Sus scrofa: one gene and its partners. The protein of the gene in region 3 interacts with the protein of the main gene of each other region in a pairwise test. Links are inferred from orthologs where the notes say so. Each region holds a gene or a part of one and is shown on either strand. Other genes may lie near its edges. The genes, in order: USF1, CREB5 and FOSL1.

Region 1 (5,812 bases), on a different chromosome or scaffold from region 3:
AGGGCAGTGCCCAGTCCACTGAGACAGACCAGGCAGCCCCACAGCCACCCCAGTCAGAGGAGATGGAGCCTGAGGGGCAGCCGAGTCCCCTTGGCGCGGCTGGTGGTGTGGGCATGCGCCTGGCTTCCACCCTGGTTCAGGTCCAACAGGTCCGCTCTGTGCCTGTGGTGCCTCCCAAACCACAGTTTGCCAGAATGCCCACTGCAATGTGTGGCAAGATCCACGTGGCACCAGCAAACCCATGCCCGAGGCCTGGCCGGCTTGATGGGACTCCTGGGGAAAGGGCCTGGGGTACCAGAGCTTCCCGCTCCTCTTGGAGGAATGGGGGCAGTCTTTCCTTTGATGCTGCTGTTGCCCTGGCCCGGGACCGCCAGAGGACTGAAGTTCAGAGCGTTCGGCGGACCCAGACCTGTACTGGGGCTGGGGACTACAGCCTCATCCCTAAAACCTCCCCCTATAGCACGATCCCTGCCCATTCTTCTAGGCCCCTTAGCTGCCTGGAGCTCCCAGCTGAAGGCACAGAAGGGTCTGGATCCCGGAGTCGGCTTAGTCTGCCCCCTAAAGAACCTCAGCTCCCTGACCCCCTTGCGCCTCCCCAGCGCCGATCATATGCATTTGAAACACAGGCTAACTCTGGGAAAGGGAAGGGACTGTGATTAGGACCAGACCACAGGGCAAAGAGGACAGTAGTTGTCTTGAAACTCCGTGGTTTCTGAAGCTGTCTCTTCTGCAGCCTGAGTAGCTGTAGTGCCCAACCCTATAGGTTTTGGCCCTCCAGTTTCTCTTTGACTGTGAGAGGCACTATCTCTGTTTACTTGAGCTTGTCTCAGACACAAAGCACTTATCCCTTAGGAGATTCCAGAAAGAGTCACCAAGATCCTGTTCCCAGAGAGTGGGGTCATTGGCCAAAGGGAACAAAGAGTAGGTAGAAAAACTTACAGGTTTCTCAAAGTGAAGAATGACGGGGGAACTCCAGCCAAGTTCCTGCCATCCTCTGAGGCAATGAACTTCTCTTCATGGAAGTCCAGGGTAAAGGCAGAGGTCAGGGCCATATCGGAGCTTATTATACACAAACACTTCTAGAGTTACCCATCCTTGTTCTACTTTGGGGCTGTTAAACGCCTCCTGCTCCTCAGCTTAGGAGGAACATGTCCAAGAAACTTTTTGAACCCTGTAGTATTTGTTGGAGGGACAGGCTCCCTTCCTAGCTCCCCTACTTTCTGCCTCCCTGCATCTCAAGACAGAGAGGTCTTGTACAGATCTCTCTGCCCTCTTCTTTTCCCTTCGGAATAACTTCCTATTTCAGGGAAGGGGAATGATGTCACTTACACCCTGGGACTACTTGTCTGGATAGGCTGGGGGCCACGAATCCCAAGGGGCAATGTCTCATAATAAAAGTTGTATTTTTACACGTAAATAGTGTGGAGTTTCATTACTCTTATTAAAGTCTTGAGTGACAGGTATCATATTTTCAAATATTTGACCATTCGTTGTCTTTTCTGCTTTTATTGTTTGGGTGCTCTTCCTCAGTTGTTGCCATAGAGACCTGCGGCTGGAAACTAGAGCTGGGTTCATGGTGGTCAGGAAATGCGGAAGAGAAACTTATATTTGCATAATGCTCATTATGTGCCAGTAAAGGCTAGGTATTCTATGTGCACATAGTCTATGCTCCTGATTTTTCTGAATCCACTTAATAATTCTAAAAGGTTGGTACAGGTAAATCCATTTCACAGATGAGGAAACTAAATTAAGTCAAAAGGTTTGCCAAAGGTTTCAGAGCCAAGAAGTGGCAGAGTTAGGTCTGAGACCCGAGTTTGTCTGGCTCCAGGCTCTGAACTCGTCTCATTACCGCCCCCGCAACTTGAGGGTAGGTCTTGACTGAAAAAGAATGGGAATCAAGATGCCTCTCCCAGAAACTGTGAGCCTCTCAAAAACTGGAAGCCCTGGAGGGTCTTTAGGTGCCTTCTAACCCTAATACAAATAAGTATATCCAGATCTATTTATACCAGCTATGTCCTAATGTCTAATAAGCAACCACAAACAGGTATACTGATCCAAGATGGCCTCCCAAAGAGCCCTTGTTAAAGATGGCGCCTCCATCCGATGTCCCTCGCTTGATCCAAGCTGGCCTCTCTCACGCCCTTCTCCTGGAGCTAAAAAGGCCCTGTCCAGCAGAAAAATAGTAGCACCAAGTTAGTCGTCTTTCTTCCGTCCTTGCTAGAGCGACTAGGACTTCAGTGTCATTCTCCAAGGATCCCCGGTCGTGGCTTCTTCCCCACCCCAGCAACACCTCCAACACGCTCGCATCCTTCAGCCCCCGGCAAGATGGAGCGAACGGAAGTGGGGCAGCACAGAGGCTGTGTAGGCTGGGCGGACGGGAGGAGACACTTCCGCCCCTCACCAACATGGCTGTGAGCCGGTAGTGCGCATGATCAGCTGTCCAAGGAGCTACCCGAGTCGAGAGAGGGAGAACTCGGTCCAGGGAAATAGGAGCCTGCGGCGGCCTTGGCTGGTGAGTGCAGGACCCGACGAGAGTCTGGAGACTGGGTGGGCAGGCGGGGGAGAGCAGCTTCGATTTTATTTCCGTTTTTTAGGTCCAGAAACTCCTGGGGCGGAAGCTTTTGTTTGGAGGGAGGGGGCCGTGCCTGATCTTTATCTCCTACCCCCTTTTGTGGGCCGAACTCACTCCCCGCCCCCGGGCGCGCTCTCCTTCGATGGCAGCCGCGGGCCGCGGGGCCAAGACCACGGGATCCGCTGAACCCCCGGCCTCAATTCCTGCCTCTGCGGAGCAGCGGGGTCTCGGGATGTGACGGGCCGGGCTGGACGGGTCACGGCGCGGGCTCCTGGGCTCGCGCCCGACCGGCGCTCAGCTCTTAAGCGCCTACTGCTTGATGGGCCTGCAGGGAGACGCCGCATTCTCAGGCAAGGTCTAGGCGCCAGCCTTCTTTGGGGACTTGATTATTTTCCCTTTGTGTCCAGACTTAGCCAGGGCTCTCCCCCCCCCCCCTTTGCCTGAGCGTGCACGCTACGACATCCTATCCCACTTTCCTGTCGCATACCCCTAACGCTCAGGAAATGCTTCTGGATGCCCTACTAAGATTTGAATAAGTATCTTGACCCCGTTGCTGGGCGTCCTCAGAGGCTGCCCCGGCTGACAGCTGTGGGCCATAGAGACGCCTCCTCTGCCCTGCCCTCTTGTTTCATTGCTTCCTTCTGCTGTCAGCGCAGCAAGCTTCAGAGGGGCACTTCCTCCGTACGTTCGAGGATGGAGAGGTAGGTGGTCCCGAAATACTGGTGCTACTTCCCCCTTAGGGACCGGATCTTAATTGCAGCGCTACTTGCTCCGGACAGTTTCATTTTCAGTTCCTTTTTTTTTCTTTTTTGTGAACACTTTGGATATGGGCTTTCCATGACTTAACCGCTGAAGATAAAGGTTTGGGAGACCCTTACAGGTAGAGAACTTAAAAAAATCTTACCCCTTTCCTGTCGGGATTACTTATTGCTTTGTACTATATTGCTATTTCTTTCTAGAGGCATCTGTCTTCTCAGCCCTTTGTTTTTCCTGCCGCCGCCACCCTCACTTACCCCCACTGGGTGTCAGGGTCTTTTTTTTTTTTTTTTTTTTTTTTCTTTTGGCCTAGCAGGGGGTGGGGGCGGGCATGTGGAAGTTCCCAGGACGGGAGTTGAACCCGCACCGCAGCAGCAGCCCAGGCCACTGCAGTGACAACTGCTGCTGGATCCTTACCGCTGTGCCGCAAGAGAACTTCAGTGTCAGGGTTGTAAGGCAGGCACCTCTTAGATGGATTCTTCCTCCATTATCTCTTCTTCCAAACCCTGAACCTGGAGTTTCCCTCTTCTTGCTGAGGCTTGGTTGATTTGGAGTTGTCATGGCAACATTTTAGCAACTGTGTTGTTCTACAGGAAGGCTTAGTGAATAAAATAGAAGGGGCTTGAAGAGGATACACTTGGGCTTTAGGGTCTTTAATGAATGAGGTAAATCTGGACTCCCAAAACAAGAGCCCTGTCAGTAGAATGATGCCCAAGGGCCAAATCTGGTCTTTTATGGTTCTGGAGGTTCTCCAGTGGGTTCAGGTTTCCCTTTCTTAGATTTGAGGACAGGAATTTCTTGATGTACAATATATGCTTGAGAAGTGGGAAGAAGCATCAACATCCAAGACCTTGTGTTTTTTGATAGCTGTGGTCTAAACATGGTCCTTCTAATCTCCATGTCATGGCAGATCATGATAGCTTTAATAATAATCCATCCAGAAATACGTTATTTCTTAGTCTTTCAGTATAATTATCTCTTCTCCATCAGGAGTTGGAGTGATAATTGGAGGGGCGAGAAACACTATTCATATAATTGCTCTTTCAGTCACTGTAGACAGTCTTCAGCATCAGAATGGAGAAAGCTGATTGTCCCCTGCAGATGATTGGTTTATGTTCCTGGATGTGTCTTCATGGAGCCTAGTTCTAGAAAGAGGAGACTTCCAGTTTCTTAGACTCACTAGACTTCCTGATTTCTACCAGGACTTAGCACTCAGGCCTGTGAGGCAGGAGATACGAAGACTTCCAAAGAAGGACCAGTTCCTCGGATGTGCCCCCTCACAGAGAGATGAAGGGGTGAGTGAAGAAGAGGTAGGGTCTGGTTTGGGAGGCCTGGGAGAATGCAAAATGGCTAAGAGCACTGATTCTGGAGTCAGGCAGACCTAGATTTAGGTCCCAGCTCCATCACCTAGCTATGTGATCTGGTTTCCTGTTTATAAAATGCAGGCAGTGCTACCTACCACACAGTGCTGTTCTTAGTACTAAGTAAGATATTGCCTGTTAAGTGCTTAGCTCAGCACTAAATAAATACTAGCTCTTGTTATTCTGACCTAACCGAGCATCTGCTGGGAGTGCCAGTGAGTTTGGGAGCCATATGTTATTGGGCCAGTGAGCTTTTCATTCACTTTTTCCCATATTTTTTTGTCCCCTCACAAACAGGCAGCAGAAAACAGCTGAAACGGAAGAGGGGACAGTGCAGATTCAGGAAGGTAAGTGGGAGAAACAGAACTGAGCTAAGACCAAGAGCCCACTGGGGCCTCTCCCCCACCCCATGGGCCCATCACTTGTGTAACCTTCTTCTAAATGACACGTAGGTGGAACAGAGAGGAAAAGGCAGTAACTCACAGACTTTTCCTTTTAATTCAGGTGCGGTGGCAACTGGGGAGGACCCAACCAGTGTGGCAATTGCCAGCATCCAGTCAGCTGCCACTTTCCCTGACCCCAACGTCAAGTACGTCTTCCGAACTGAAAATGGGGGCCAGGTAAGGGAGGGGGCCAGGTGGCTGCAGGTGTTATCTGGGATTGGGAATGGGGGAGGTAACTGAACCTGTCACATGGGGAGACCTGGATTGGAGGATGAGGTGAAGATGTGGACTGTCTGGAAGGTGGGGGGTGGAGTAGAGATTGGTGTGGGGTAGGGGTTATGCTGAAACCTCTATATGGGGAAAGGCAAGGGAATGGCTAACTGTATGTTTCTGAAGGATTCTTGTTTGGGGACCCTGTCCCTGGCACTTACTCTCTTGTTCTCCCTTCCCCTTCTTCCCTTTTCCTCCTTGCCTCTAGGTGATGTACAGGGTGATCCAGGTGTCTGAGGGGCAGCTGGATGGCCAGACTGAGGGGACTGGCGCCATCAGTGGCTACCCTGCCACTCAATCCATGACCCAGGTACAGGCGTATGGACTGGGGAGGGGACTGGAGCTCTGAGTATGGAGACGAAGAAGGGAACCAATAGGATGGGGGTGTGGCACGGGATGGTGAGGCAGCT
Region 2 (5,797 bases), on a different chromosome or scaffold from region 3:
AATTGAGCTGTCATTTTAAAAGTTTTATTAGTTAAGATTCAAGTTAGGACTGGAGCCCTTCTTTTGCAATTCCTTCAGGGCTACACGTGGAAGAGAACAAATAGGAAACGCAGTGATGAGTTCTGAATCAAGCTGTGGGAAAGGAATAGTCAGCAGTCCCTGTGGTCTCAAGAAACACCAAGAAAGAGAGTTGTTTAAACACTTAAAAAATAGAAAGGAAACACAGAGCTCTTCCATTTAGTATGGCAAAACCAGCTCAGAAGTATGTGACGATCCAGGCAAAGCACGACAGTTTCTAGCCAGTCCAGTCATGATTCTCTGGCAAACTGCACAGTCATGGTTATGATGCATTGGGATGAGAGGTGCTATATAAATGTCAGATGTTACATAAATGTCAGGAATGATTATTGTTTGTTAATGGGGGCTAAACTGTTCCTAAGCAAAGCTTGGACTCCCAGCCAACTCGTCCTCAGCAAAGGTTCTAACCATCAATAACCCATGAGAATGGAAAGCTCCGCCCTGGTTCTAGAAAGGAGTCCAGTTAGGATTTGGAGTTTTAAAACAGGGGCGGGAGTTATCCAGTGGCTTCAGGCCAGCCCCCTAAGCTTCTGGAATTTGCCTTGGCTCCCTGTAAAATGGGGATAATTATAACACCTGCCCTACTTCTCCTTGTGCTGGGTTGTTGTGAGAATCAGGGGAGTTCCACGTGGGTTCCAGTGCTTTGCAAAGTGTGAGCTGCTGCAAGGATGACCGTGGTGCTCTGAGATGTCTGGCATCTCCTGGATTTAGCCTCTGCCTTCCCTTTGAGTCCGACTCACAGAGAGAACATCCGAATGGAAATTAAGCTGGGGATGGCCATGGTGACCTGGCTGATGCTGAAAACACCAGGCTCCTTCTCTCACTGAGCTGTCAGGAACGTACTGCAGACCAGGGCCCCGAATCCTGCATTCCGGCTCTGGCTCTGCCACTTGCCAGCTTATGAGCTTGGGCAAGTAACAGAGGAGGCTCTGGAAGTGAGCGCCAAGGGCCCTTCCGGATCTGACGCTGAGTCTAAATCAGGCTCATCATTTGGCTCTAGCTGTAATTCACCTTTCGCCTGCAGGAACAACGCTCCTTCCAGCTTCTCACACTCATGAAGCAGGGGTCTTGGGAAGGACAGGGGCATCACATTCCAAATGAGTGTGCACAATAAAGAAGTTATTCCTTTGGAGGTGAAATGGGGCGCGGCGGGGGGGGGGGAGGGCCGTGAAAAGGGGTGTCGAGTGAATGCTCTGAGAAGCCAGGATGCAGGGAACACTGTAATGAGGTCACGACTGTCGCAGGCAAAAAGGAGCTGGACATCTGCTGGTGGGGGAAGGGGGAGCGTTCCTCATTTCTGTTTGTAGAAAGTCTCTTCCCGCATTCGTCTGCACCCCCTCCCCACCCTTCCTCTACTCCCCATTCCCACCCTTCCCCTACTCCCCGTCCCCACACCTTTCAAATGCCACCAGGCCCTCCTCACGGGAGAGCCCAGGTCCCTGCCTCCTCCGTGGTCCCGTCTGAAACCGTGACGATTGTTTCCAAGCTGACTCACACCACTAATGTCAGGGAGCCGTGTCACACGGCGCTGGCCTCTGCAAGCTGTTGCTCGCGCGGTCGCCGCTGCCGCCGCCGCTCCCCCGCGGGTGCACCAGAGTCGGCTGGTGGGGCGGTGCGCGGGCGGGGCCCGCCCCCTCGGCGCGCCGGCCCCGCCCCTCCCTCCTCCCCCCACCCCCCCACGGGCCGCAATGATTTAGAAGTTCAGGAATCCCACGTGACGTCACCGGGGGGGTGATGTAATGCACTCTAAATAGAATGTATTGTAATCTTTGCTCAGTCCAACGTGGTCCCTTCACCCGGGCTCCGCTCTTGCCTTCTCCACACTTGTTTGGTAAGTTCCTAAAAATACGGCTCGGCCACTTCTGGGGCTTTTGCATTTAGCCACTTTTGTTGCACTTGCCGCGGGAGCCATCTCGGGAACGTACTTGTTTGCAGGGGCTGGTTCTCGGCAGCAGCCGCGAGGTTACTTGGTCTAGTGGGCAGGTCACAGGGCAAGAAGTAGGGGAAGATGCGATGCATTTTTTTTTTTTTTTTGGAGGATGATCTGTGTTTGTAAACACTCTGGCGGACCAGAGGGAAGTCCGTCCCCCAATGCTGGTGGACCGTGGAATTCGGCTGTGTCCTGAGGCTACCCCAGAGACCCCACGCCGAGTCCGTCCCGGAGCGCGTCTCGGTGGCCGCCGCGCCGTGCGACTGGAGGGATGCTAACGTGGAGCGAGCGCCGTGTCAGCCCCGGCGTGCGTGCGTGTGTGGGAGCGCGCGTGTGTTTCCCTGACACGGGGAACAGTTATGAATCGGGGGTGTGTGTTTGCCTCCAGAGACCTGGCAAGGTGCGGAACCCTCCAGAAGTGCGGTCAAGCGGCGTCAGCGGTGGCGGCAGCGGAGACGGCGAGCCAGGAACCGCCCCCCGCGTCCCCAACTTCCCGGTGATGCGGCGGAACCCCCGGAAAAAGTTTGCAAACTTCCAGCGGGCGCGGCGAGGACGCCGGGTCACCTAGGGGGCGGATGGACGGGCGCGCGGGGGGCTCGCTCCCTCCCCGGTGCTGAGCCTGCTGCTGCCACCTCTCCCGCAGGGCTGCCGGCCCCAGGTGGTGGGCGCGCGCGCCCTGGGAGGGGACGTCGCTCTTGGAGGGCACTTTGCTTTCACTCCGGGCGCGGAGGGCTGGAGAGTGGCGAGGCTCTTCTCGCCTTCATTCCTCCAGCCACCTCTTGCCTCCGTCCGGTTCTCGTTGGCATCATTACCTCTTCTCCGCTGCTGCCCCAAATGACAGCTCCCGCTTTTGCCGCGGCGGCGCGGTGGCAGTTCCCAGGATACGGCGGCGGCGAAGCCCTCTTCTCCAGGCAGATTCTTCAAGGAATCGCTTAAAACTTTTCACGACGGTCTTAGAGGGGCAAGACGCACGAAGCAACCAAAGAGATGTTTTTTCCCCGTCGGCTGCATTTCGCTTTTCTTTTGCTATAGGTTTATTGGGGGGGGTGCTAATCTGGTAGATGAAGCCCCCGATCTTGATCTTGTCCACTCCTCCCTAACTTTCCTTGAACGGGTGCCGCCCCCACTTGAGGCTGGTACAGGGCCGGGAACTCAAGTGGGTCTCTTGTGTATTTCGTTGTCAGAGCCCGCAGAGTGTATGATTTTTATTTTTCCCTCCCTCTCTGACATGTGTCAAGGAATAAAGGCTGGAGACAGGTCCATTACGTCATTCTGCAGGCCGTAAGTGTTTGATTAACAGCTTCAGATACTCAAGGGTTAGGGGCTTAGAAGTGCTGACAAAGCAACTATGCTTTCCATCCCCAGCCCCCACCATACTCGTACAATCGCCGATTCCCTGGGCATCTTTATTACCCTCTCCCTCTGGACCCCTCCTTCTCCGCCCGCTCTCTCCCGCCCATACCGTTATCACTCTGGCCCCGCCTCCGCCTTTTACTGCTTTCCCTGGGGCGGTCACAGTCCCTGGAGCGTGGTGAGAGCTTCTGGCGGCTGAGGGGGGCACAGTACCTGATCTGCGGGCACACAAGCTGCCCTTTTCTATTATTTAAGAAAGGCGCTAGCGAGCCCTCTCCTCTAGGGCAAAAATAACTTAGTCCTGATAGAAAAGGCATCTCAGGAAATGTTTAGAGACGCTACGGTGGATAATACCACGTCCCTGTGTTGACTTAGGAAAACAACACACCCACAGCAAACAAAGTACTTAATTTTACATAACGCCTTCCTCTTTCCTTCCAGCAGTTAGCCGGAGGGGGATGGCGAGGTTGTGCTGACTAAATCAAATTTATCCGAAAGGCTCAAGATTAAACGTTTCATTTCCAAAGTTAGGGAATGTGAGTCTTGGAACCCGAATACTATACAATAAATTGGGGCGTGTGTTACTTTCTTAATCTTAACCTTAAGTTTCTTTATTTAAAGAGGAAGTTAAGTATGGAAGTCACTGAATCGAGCCAGAATCTCCGTATCTGGCAGTTGAAATAAAAATACTGTTTGTGACACGTTTAAGGGATAAAAGTAAAAAGATCTCCGAGGGGTGGGGGTGCGGGGGTGCAGCAGGAGTCAAATAGAAGATTTCCTAACAGGATTTTGGATGGAGGAGGGCAGAGAGTTTCAGGGCTCTCTGATTTGGAGTTGGTGAAAGTTAAATAAAGGAAAATTTATATTCTGAGTATGTGGGAATTTCTTGAAGCATGCGTGTCTTGTTATAATCAAATCTGCTTTCTTCAAAGTGAAAGCCGTGCTGTAGAGTAGGCATTTGTGAAACTCCTGTCTGGGGTCTAATTGACATCTCCTTCCCCAAGTTTGTGGCAGTGTTTATTATTTATTCACATCTAGAGATGAAATAGTATAACCCCCACACAATACATGTGCATCTAAAATGTTAAACTTCTTGTTTGTGATGCATACATAGACCCAAAGGGAAAAATGGCCCGGGTCACCAGCACTGGAGAGTGTGATTAATGATCAGTGATTTAGTGATCAGTGATTAGTGGTTTTATTCAAACTGTTACCTCTGACCAGAAGCACACATCAGAGGATTAACAGGCTCTTTAGATAAATGCTCATTAGTGGAAGGGGGAAAGCAAAGATAATAGGCATGCACCCAGGGACAACTTTCGAAGAAAATCATTCCCCGTCTTCAGAATAATAAGCTCTATTAACAGAAAGCCCTTTTAATTTAAAACTTGCTTTTATCTTGTAAATCAAAGTTAGATGTAAAAGTTTGTAGTGCCATTATAACCTAAATTTTCCCATATCCACTTGATGTGGATTATCTCAGTAGCGATATTTTTTTTTATTTAAATAAACAATTGGACCTTTAAAGCAGCTGGACCCTGACAAGTCCTTAACTCCCAGGGTTTGAAGGTGTCCCCCCTTCTAGAAGGGAGAGTGCAGCTTGCTAACTAGATGGCGCACTGCTATTTGGTGTGCTGTGCTGTGTCCTGCAGGAGTCCAAAGGAGCAAGTAGCTGCTTGCGAGGTGTTCTCCCACACTCACAACAAAGTTGATTCTGTGCAGGGTTGGAGGCTAGACAGTTCTACAAGTTTTTAGTCACATTTTCCATGTCAGTTGAATCTAGGGAGTTCAAGGCTTCTGGAAAAATTGGTCTCATTACTAAAAGAAACGTAGAACCCAGGAGGAGAGGAGGTACGGGGAGACCAGGAGGTACCTCTGGGTTGCAGCAGTGATTGTAAAATACCAGACCTGTTCTTTTTTTTTTTTTTTTTTTTTGGGCTAAGAGCTAGCTTCACGGTCTTGTGATCTGAACTACTGAGGCAAACACTCAAAGCTTTATTTTCTTCCTAATCTTGCTGGTGAAAAAGACGTTGCTAGAAAGACAGGAAGAAAAAAAAATCTTGATTGGGTGACTGCAGGAAGCAACACGTTGCTGATTTTATTCTACAGATAATGGTAAGATGATGTTTGCTCCGCTTATTAAGCAGAAAGGGAACTTTGTGGTTGGCTAAATGAGAACAATCTTGTATTTTCATAGGTGAAATTCACAAATGGAGTTCTTATTTTACGTTGACTTTGAATGTGGCTTTTGCCAGTTTCCTGGATCTTGATAGCATTTTTTGTGTGGAAGGTTTTGTGTGTGTGTGTGTGTGTGTGTGTGTGTGTGTATCTGTGAATAAGACCATTACTTTCTGGGTAAAATAATGTTCATAAGCATGGGAACTGCAGTGGGGGAGCTACAAAGCGTGTTAAATAACGTGGCAGGTAAGAATTCCC
Region 3 (5,797 bases):
TCATATGCTGCACGAAGCACATGGCATTTTATACGTATTCTCCAACAATCCCGAGATGTTGTCATCATCATATAGTTATATACAATGATGATTAGGGCTTCACTTTACAGAGGAGGCTCTGAGACCTCTGAGGCCTCACCTAGGTCACACTGCTGGTGAGCAGCCTGGTAGAATTCAAAGCCAGCTCTCAGACTTGTCTGATTCCCGCACATATGTTCCTTTCCATGAGTCACACTGCCTCAAAAAAATCTCTCTCTCTTTCCATCTCTCCCTCTCCCTCTCTCTCTCACACACCCACCCACACCCACCCACCCACACCCACACACCTGTATATTTCTCATTCTCATTCTGGTAAACATTGGTTTCTTTTCTCTTTAGAAAATGACAAGCATCAAGTAGAATAAGGGCAAGGGAGAGGCACCAGGCTGGCAACCACCTTCTGAGCGTACATCACTTTATAGCTTACAAAGCACTTTCACATGTGTGACCTCATTGAATCCCACAGCAGCCCCATGAGGTCAGCGGGAGGCTCAATTATTGCCACTGGGGCCGGGACTCAGAAGGAGGGTGACCTGCCCAGGGTAAGAGATAGAAAATGGTAACTCTGGGACTGCAAGCCCCAGGCCAGGCTGGCCTCTTGGCTCTAAGTCCTGAACGCATCTACAGACCTTGGCCTCTGTCCCCAAGGACAGCAGCCCAGGATCCCACCTTCCTGAAATCCTCCTTCCCTGAGGTCAAAGCTGGAACTGATCAAAAGGAGGTACCAGTGGAAAGCAGGAGCGTCCAGCTCTCTCTCAAGTGACCCTGGCGGCTCCTTACTTCATCTGGGCCTCAGTTTCCTCATCTGTAGAATGGGAAGAGACAGAGAAGCAGCTTTGGGGCGGTCCTCTCAGCACCAACATATGTGAAAAGCTGTCTGTGAGGGCTTTGAAATCGCTTGCCCAAACCTGGGCTGGGAGCTCCCACAGCCCTGATTTGGCAACCTGCTTCGGCCACTTGCTTAGTGATCTTGGGCCCTTCATTTCCACATCTCTCAGCCTCACTTCCCCCATCTGTAAAATGGGGACGATAATGGCACCTACCTCGCAGCGCTGCTGGTCTTCGGCTGTTGATATTTGTCCCTGGCCTCACATTCATACAGACTTTTGATGTAATCTCCAAACAAGGCTAGTGACCACACAGTCCTGGAAGAGTAGTTACAGTATTTAAAGAAAATGATGTTTATCAGACCACAGGACAAGTGCCCCACTGCAGGCTTTCACTGCTTACAGAGGTTCTGAATGAAAACTTGTCCTGACTCCTGAAATTACCCTGCGAGTAGGGCAATTACATTGCATAGTATTTGGGGATAGTTCAAAGCATTATCATGTCATTGTAAACATTTAAAATATACACCATTTTTGGAGTTCTCTGGTGGCTCAACAGGTTGATGATCTGGCACTGTCACTGCTGTGGCTTGGGGCGCTGCTGTGGTGAGGATGCCATCCCTGGCCTGGCAACTTCTGCATACCAACGGGCACAGCCAAATAAGTGTGTGTGTGTGTGTGTGTGTGTGTATCTACCACTTTTGTAATCCTGGTTTGTCATTCACTTTTTAGTAAACCTGAACCTTAAGACAACGCCAGTGAAAGGGCTTCACACCACAGACTTGGATGGCGGTAGCACGGTTCCTGGCATGAAATAAGCACCCAGTAAATAATGATAATGATGATAATAATAATGCTATCACATTTGTAACCCATTTTACAGTTTCCAGACCCCTTTCATTCCAACCTCCCACGCGCGGCCAGGGCGCTGTGTGATTATTTCGTCCCATTTTACGGATGCAAACACTGAGGGCTCTGGGATCTGGTGGCGGGATCTAGGTCTGCGCAGGTGGAGGGCGAGGCGAGGCGGGGCGGGGCTGGGCGGGGCGCAGGTGCCTCCGTCGGCGGGGGAATCCTTCGCTCCACCTGGGCGCGGCGAGGAAATTGCACCATGTATGGGCAGCTACGTCAGAGGAGGCGGACCTGCCGCTGTCGCAGGGGGACGTCAAGTCCGCCCTTTTTCCCCACCAAAAAGCGGCTAGCCGGCTGTAGGAGGCGACGAAAAGTTCAGGGCGGACTGGCAAAAGGCGGTGCGATTGCAGAGGTGGAGCCCCGAGGTGACCAGCGCCGCTGAGGAACGCCCCCCCCCGCCCCAGTGGAAGTGGTTCAGCCCGAGGACTTTTCATTCATAAAAAGAAAAGACTCCGCGAGGAGCGAGTGAGTCAGAACCAGAGCCGCCGACACGGACCCCACAGAGCAGCCAGCCCAGGGCATGTTCCGAGACTTCGGGGAACCGGGACCGAGCTCCGGGGCCGGAGGTGCGTACGGCGGCCCGGCGCAGCCCCCGGTGACAGGCCAGCAGGTGAGAGGAACCCTACGCCCAGTGTCCCCAGGTGGACAGCGCCTGAGACGGTGCGGGCCGCTCCAGCACAATCCGGACCGGGGCCGGGAACCGCAGGAGGGAGTGGGGCTCGGAGGGGTGGCAGCGGATCCTGCCCATTCTCGGTTGTCCAAGGGCTCTTTTCCCCCCACAGCCCAGTGGGACGCGCGCGGCGGGGGGGGGAACGAAGATCTGCGAACGTCCCCTCTGTGGCTCGCGCTCTTTCCCCCTCTCTCTGCGGTCTCTCCGTCCCTCCGTCTCTGTTACCGTCTTTCCTTCCTCCTGTCCACCGCCGATTTCTTTGTCCCATCTGCGTCCGAAGGGGACCCCTTGTCCGGGATGAGTTCTAGTCCCGGCAGAATCAAAGAGAACTAAATTCCAAGAGCCGGAGTCTGAGCTGCGGCCGAGATGTCCCCTCGCACAGAGAGGATCTACCGGCGGGCTGGACCCGGCAGACTGGGAATCCTGGGCGGTCTGTCTGTGATCATCCCGGCGCCCGCCCGTTTGTCTGTCCCTCCCCATCCCGTCGCCAGATCCTTATCATCATCTCGGCGCAGTGGAGCCTGGTGGGCTCCGGGAGACCGGCTCTTGACCCTTTTACGGGATGCGTCCGGCAGAGACCGTGAGGTGCAGGGAGACGTGCGCGGGGTCAGGCTGCGGGCAAGTCCCGCGCCCCCGGCTCTCGGCACCAAACGGCGCCCGCTGCCGGCAGGGGGGAACCTGGGAGGCTGCAGGTGCCCATTTCCTGTCGAGGGGCCGTGAGCACGTGTCGCTAGGGGAGGGAAGGAGCGGCGTCCGTTCCGCCGAGTCACGGCAGCCGAGTCACGGTGGCTGACTCACGCGGGGCGCCCCTCCCTTCCTGGCCCGGAGGGGCCCGGGCCTGGACAACCTCGGGAGCTGGAGATGCCGCCGGCGGTACCTTGGCCCGAAACTGGGGTCACTGGGCCATTGGGCCCGCAGCACTAAGCCGGGGACACTGCTGTCCTGACTTGTCTGGGCTTGTGGGGCGCTTCCCGGACGACTGGGCGCCCACACCCAGGGCTTGAATCTAGTTCTTTTTCCAAACAGTAAGCCCCCATCTCAACCCATTCCTCACGTTTCTGGCTGGAAGGGAATTGTGGCAGGTGATACCTGGAGCACATACTGTGCAGCTCTGCCTGGTGCCGGGCAGTTTCCGCCTCATTTATCTTAACTCCTAGAATCTAAGACCCCACTGATACTAAAACCCATCATTATTTTGTAGCACAAAAATTGTTTTCAAGTTGCCAATTGAACTATGAGAGCTGCTATTCAGGGCCACTAAAGGGTACTTCTTAGCATCATTGAAATGCTGTAATCCCTCCCTGTGACAATATTAAAAACGAGGAGACTGAGGCACACTGAGATTAAATAATTTGCCCAGAGAGCCAGTAAATGGCTGAGTTAAGATCAAAGCCGGGATAGCCTGAACCCAGAGCAGTGGTCCTTGTCCACACTTACCAGGCTCTCTCACACACATCCTCTCACCTGATTCTCACAATCACCCTTGAAGCCAGAAGCTGTCACTCTCCTCTTCATGCTGATGAGACTCAGGCTGCGTGCAAGAGTGGGCAAGGGCCTGGCTTCCTGGGCACAAACCTGCTTCCCACTTACTGGCTGTGCGTCTATGGAGAACTGTTTTCCTGTCTGAAAATGAAGATACTGTTGTGTAAATTATATGAGTCAGGATTAGCAAAGTCGTTGGGCCAGTGCCTGGAATTCACACTTTCTTAGCTCCGATGGGAGAAATGGAGGCCCCAGAGGTTGTGTGACCTGCCTAAAGTCACACAGTTCATAAGCAGGGATGCCTGCCAAGCTGCGCCCTCTCTGGTCTCTCAGAACCAGCAGCTGCCTTGAGGGTGGGCAGCAGTGTGACTTCTGTCCCCTGGAAGCCCCTCCGTCCCTACAGACCTCATCCCTAGTCCTCTGTGTCTTATCCCTCAGAAGTTCCACCTCGTGCCAAGCATCAACGCTGTGAGTGGCAGCCAGGAGCTGCAGTGGATGGTACAGCCTCACTTCCTGGGACCCAGCAGCTACCCCAGGCCTCTGGCGTACCCCCAGTACAGTCCCCCACAACCCCGGCCGGGAGTCATCCGGGCTCTGGGGCCAACTCCGGCAGTGCGTCGCCGGCACTGTGAACAGGTAAGGAGCAGAGGCATTTGCACAGGTTCCTGTGCCCGCAGGGCTGCTGAGGTGAAAAAGATAAGCTCTTGCTGAAAAGCAGAACACAGGCTTAGAAGGAGGGTGGGGAGAATAGGTCCACTGGTGACTACTGGCCAAGGCAGAAAGTGATAAGAGCCCCTGGGGAGACCCAGAAGGCAAAGTGGTCACTGGTGGATCAGGGAAAACTTCCTGGAGGTGGAGGCATATTAGCTGAGAAATATAGGTGGGATTTGCATAGAGAGATTTGCATGTCCCTTCCAGGTAGAGGGGATGGCAGGAGCAGGAATGGAGGTGGAGGAGTTCCCGTCATGGCGCAGCGGAAACAAATCCGACTAGTATCCATGAGGATGAGGGTTCAATTCCTGGCCTCACCCAGTGGGTCAGGGATCCAGCATTGCTGTGGCTGTGGTGTAGGCTGGCAGCTGCAGTTCAAATTCACCCCCTAGCCTGGGAACCACCATATGCCACAGGTGTGGCCCTGAAGCACCAAAAAAAAAAAAAAAAAAAAAAGGCTTGGAGGTGGAAGGGAGAATGTATAAGATGGAAAGTCGTGTGGACAGTGGAGGGTGGCCTGAGCTGTCTGTGGAGCTGGGGAGAGAAGGGGAAGGAGAGAGTTCCCTTCAGCTACTCTCTGGGGTACGGTTTCCCTGTCTCATTTGATCCTCGCAAAAACCCTCTTGGGAATGGACGCTGGCTTCCCCTTTTGACAGCCAAGGAAATGAAGGCACAGAGAGGTGGTCACTTGCCTAAGATCTCAGAAGCAGTGAGTGATGAGACCGGTCTGTCCAATTCTAAGATCATATCTTCACCATCAAACCTCTCTGTCTCACCCGAAGCTAAGAGAAGGCTTGAGGCTGAGAGACCTGGGACCTCTTGCCTCCCCAGCCAGGGTTCCTGCCTGCACACTGCTAATAAAGTCCTTACCAGAATAAACAAGAGCTAGAGGGTCGTTATGGGAGTGGCTCCTCTCGCCTCTCCCCGGGGGCCTTTTGGTATATGAGGCTGTAGTGGGGTGAGGGCTGCACATTAAAGAGCTGGCTCTGCCTGCAACAGGGGAGAGGATGGAGAGGAGGTCAGGATCCTAAGAAAGATGTGCAACGGGTCAGGGGAGGCTTACCCAGAACCAGAATGGCTTGCCTTTGTGACAACTGGAAGGGGGGACCAGAGGCAGGCTCCTGGACTTCCCTCCATGTCCAGAGGGTGGCCCTTT

Evidence for each region.
Region 1: the proteins of FOSL1 (region 3) and USF1 interact in binary tests that used the Homo sapiens proteins (3 or more experiments, as listed by UniProt). The link is inferred for Sus scrofa from reciprocal best matches to the Homo sapiens genes FOSL1 and USF1.
Region 2: the proteins of FOSL1 (region 3) and CREB5 interact in binary tests that used the Homo sapiens proteins (3 or more experiments, as listed by UniProt). The two-hybrid records come from large-scale screens. The link is inferred for Sus scrofa from reciprocal best matches to the Homo sapiens genes FOSL1 and CREB5.

Annotation. Positions count from the first base shown.
Region 1 is NC_010446.5:89,392,774-89,398,585, forward strand, and holds the start of USF1 (upstream stimulatory factor 1), read left to right. Parts: upstream 1-2,526; 5' UTR 2,527-2,922; intron 2,923-2,990; exon of another isoform or gene 2,991-3,273; intron 3,274-3,290; exon of another isoform or gene 3,291-3,452; intron 3,453-4,530; 5' UTR 4,531-4,615; coding exon 4,616-4,623; exon of another isoform or gene 4,624-4,638; intron 4,639-4,986; coding exon 4,987-5,036; intron 5,037-5,193; coding exon 5,194-5,309; intron 5,310-5,610; coding exon 5,611-5,712; intron 5,713-5,812. Other genes in the region: ARHGAP30 (rho GTPase-activating protein 30), read left to right, coding at 1-656.
Region 2 is NC_010460.4:44,260,509-44,266,305, reverse strand, and holds the start of CREB5 (cyclic AMP-responsive element-binding protein 5), read left to right. Parts: upstream 1-1,829; 5' UTR 1,830-1,909; intron 1,910-1,915; exon of another isoform or gene 1,916-2,396; 5' UTR 2,397-5,473; coding exon 5,474-5,476; intron 5,477-5,797. UniProt on the Homo sapiens protein: Binds to the cAMP response element and activates transcription.
Region 3 is NC_010444.4:6,428,109-6,433,905, forward strand, and holds the start of FOSL1 (fos-related antigen 1), read left to right. Parts: upstream 1-2,049; 5' UTR 2,050-2,298; coding exon 2,299-2,388; intron 2,389-4,368; coding exon 4,369-4,566; intron 4,567-5,797.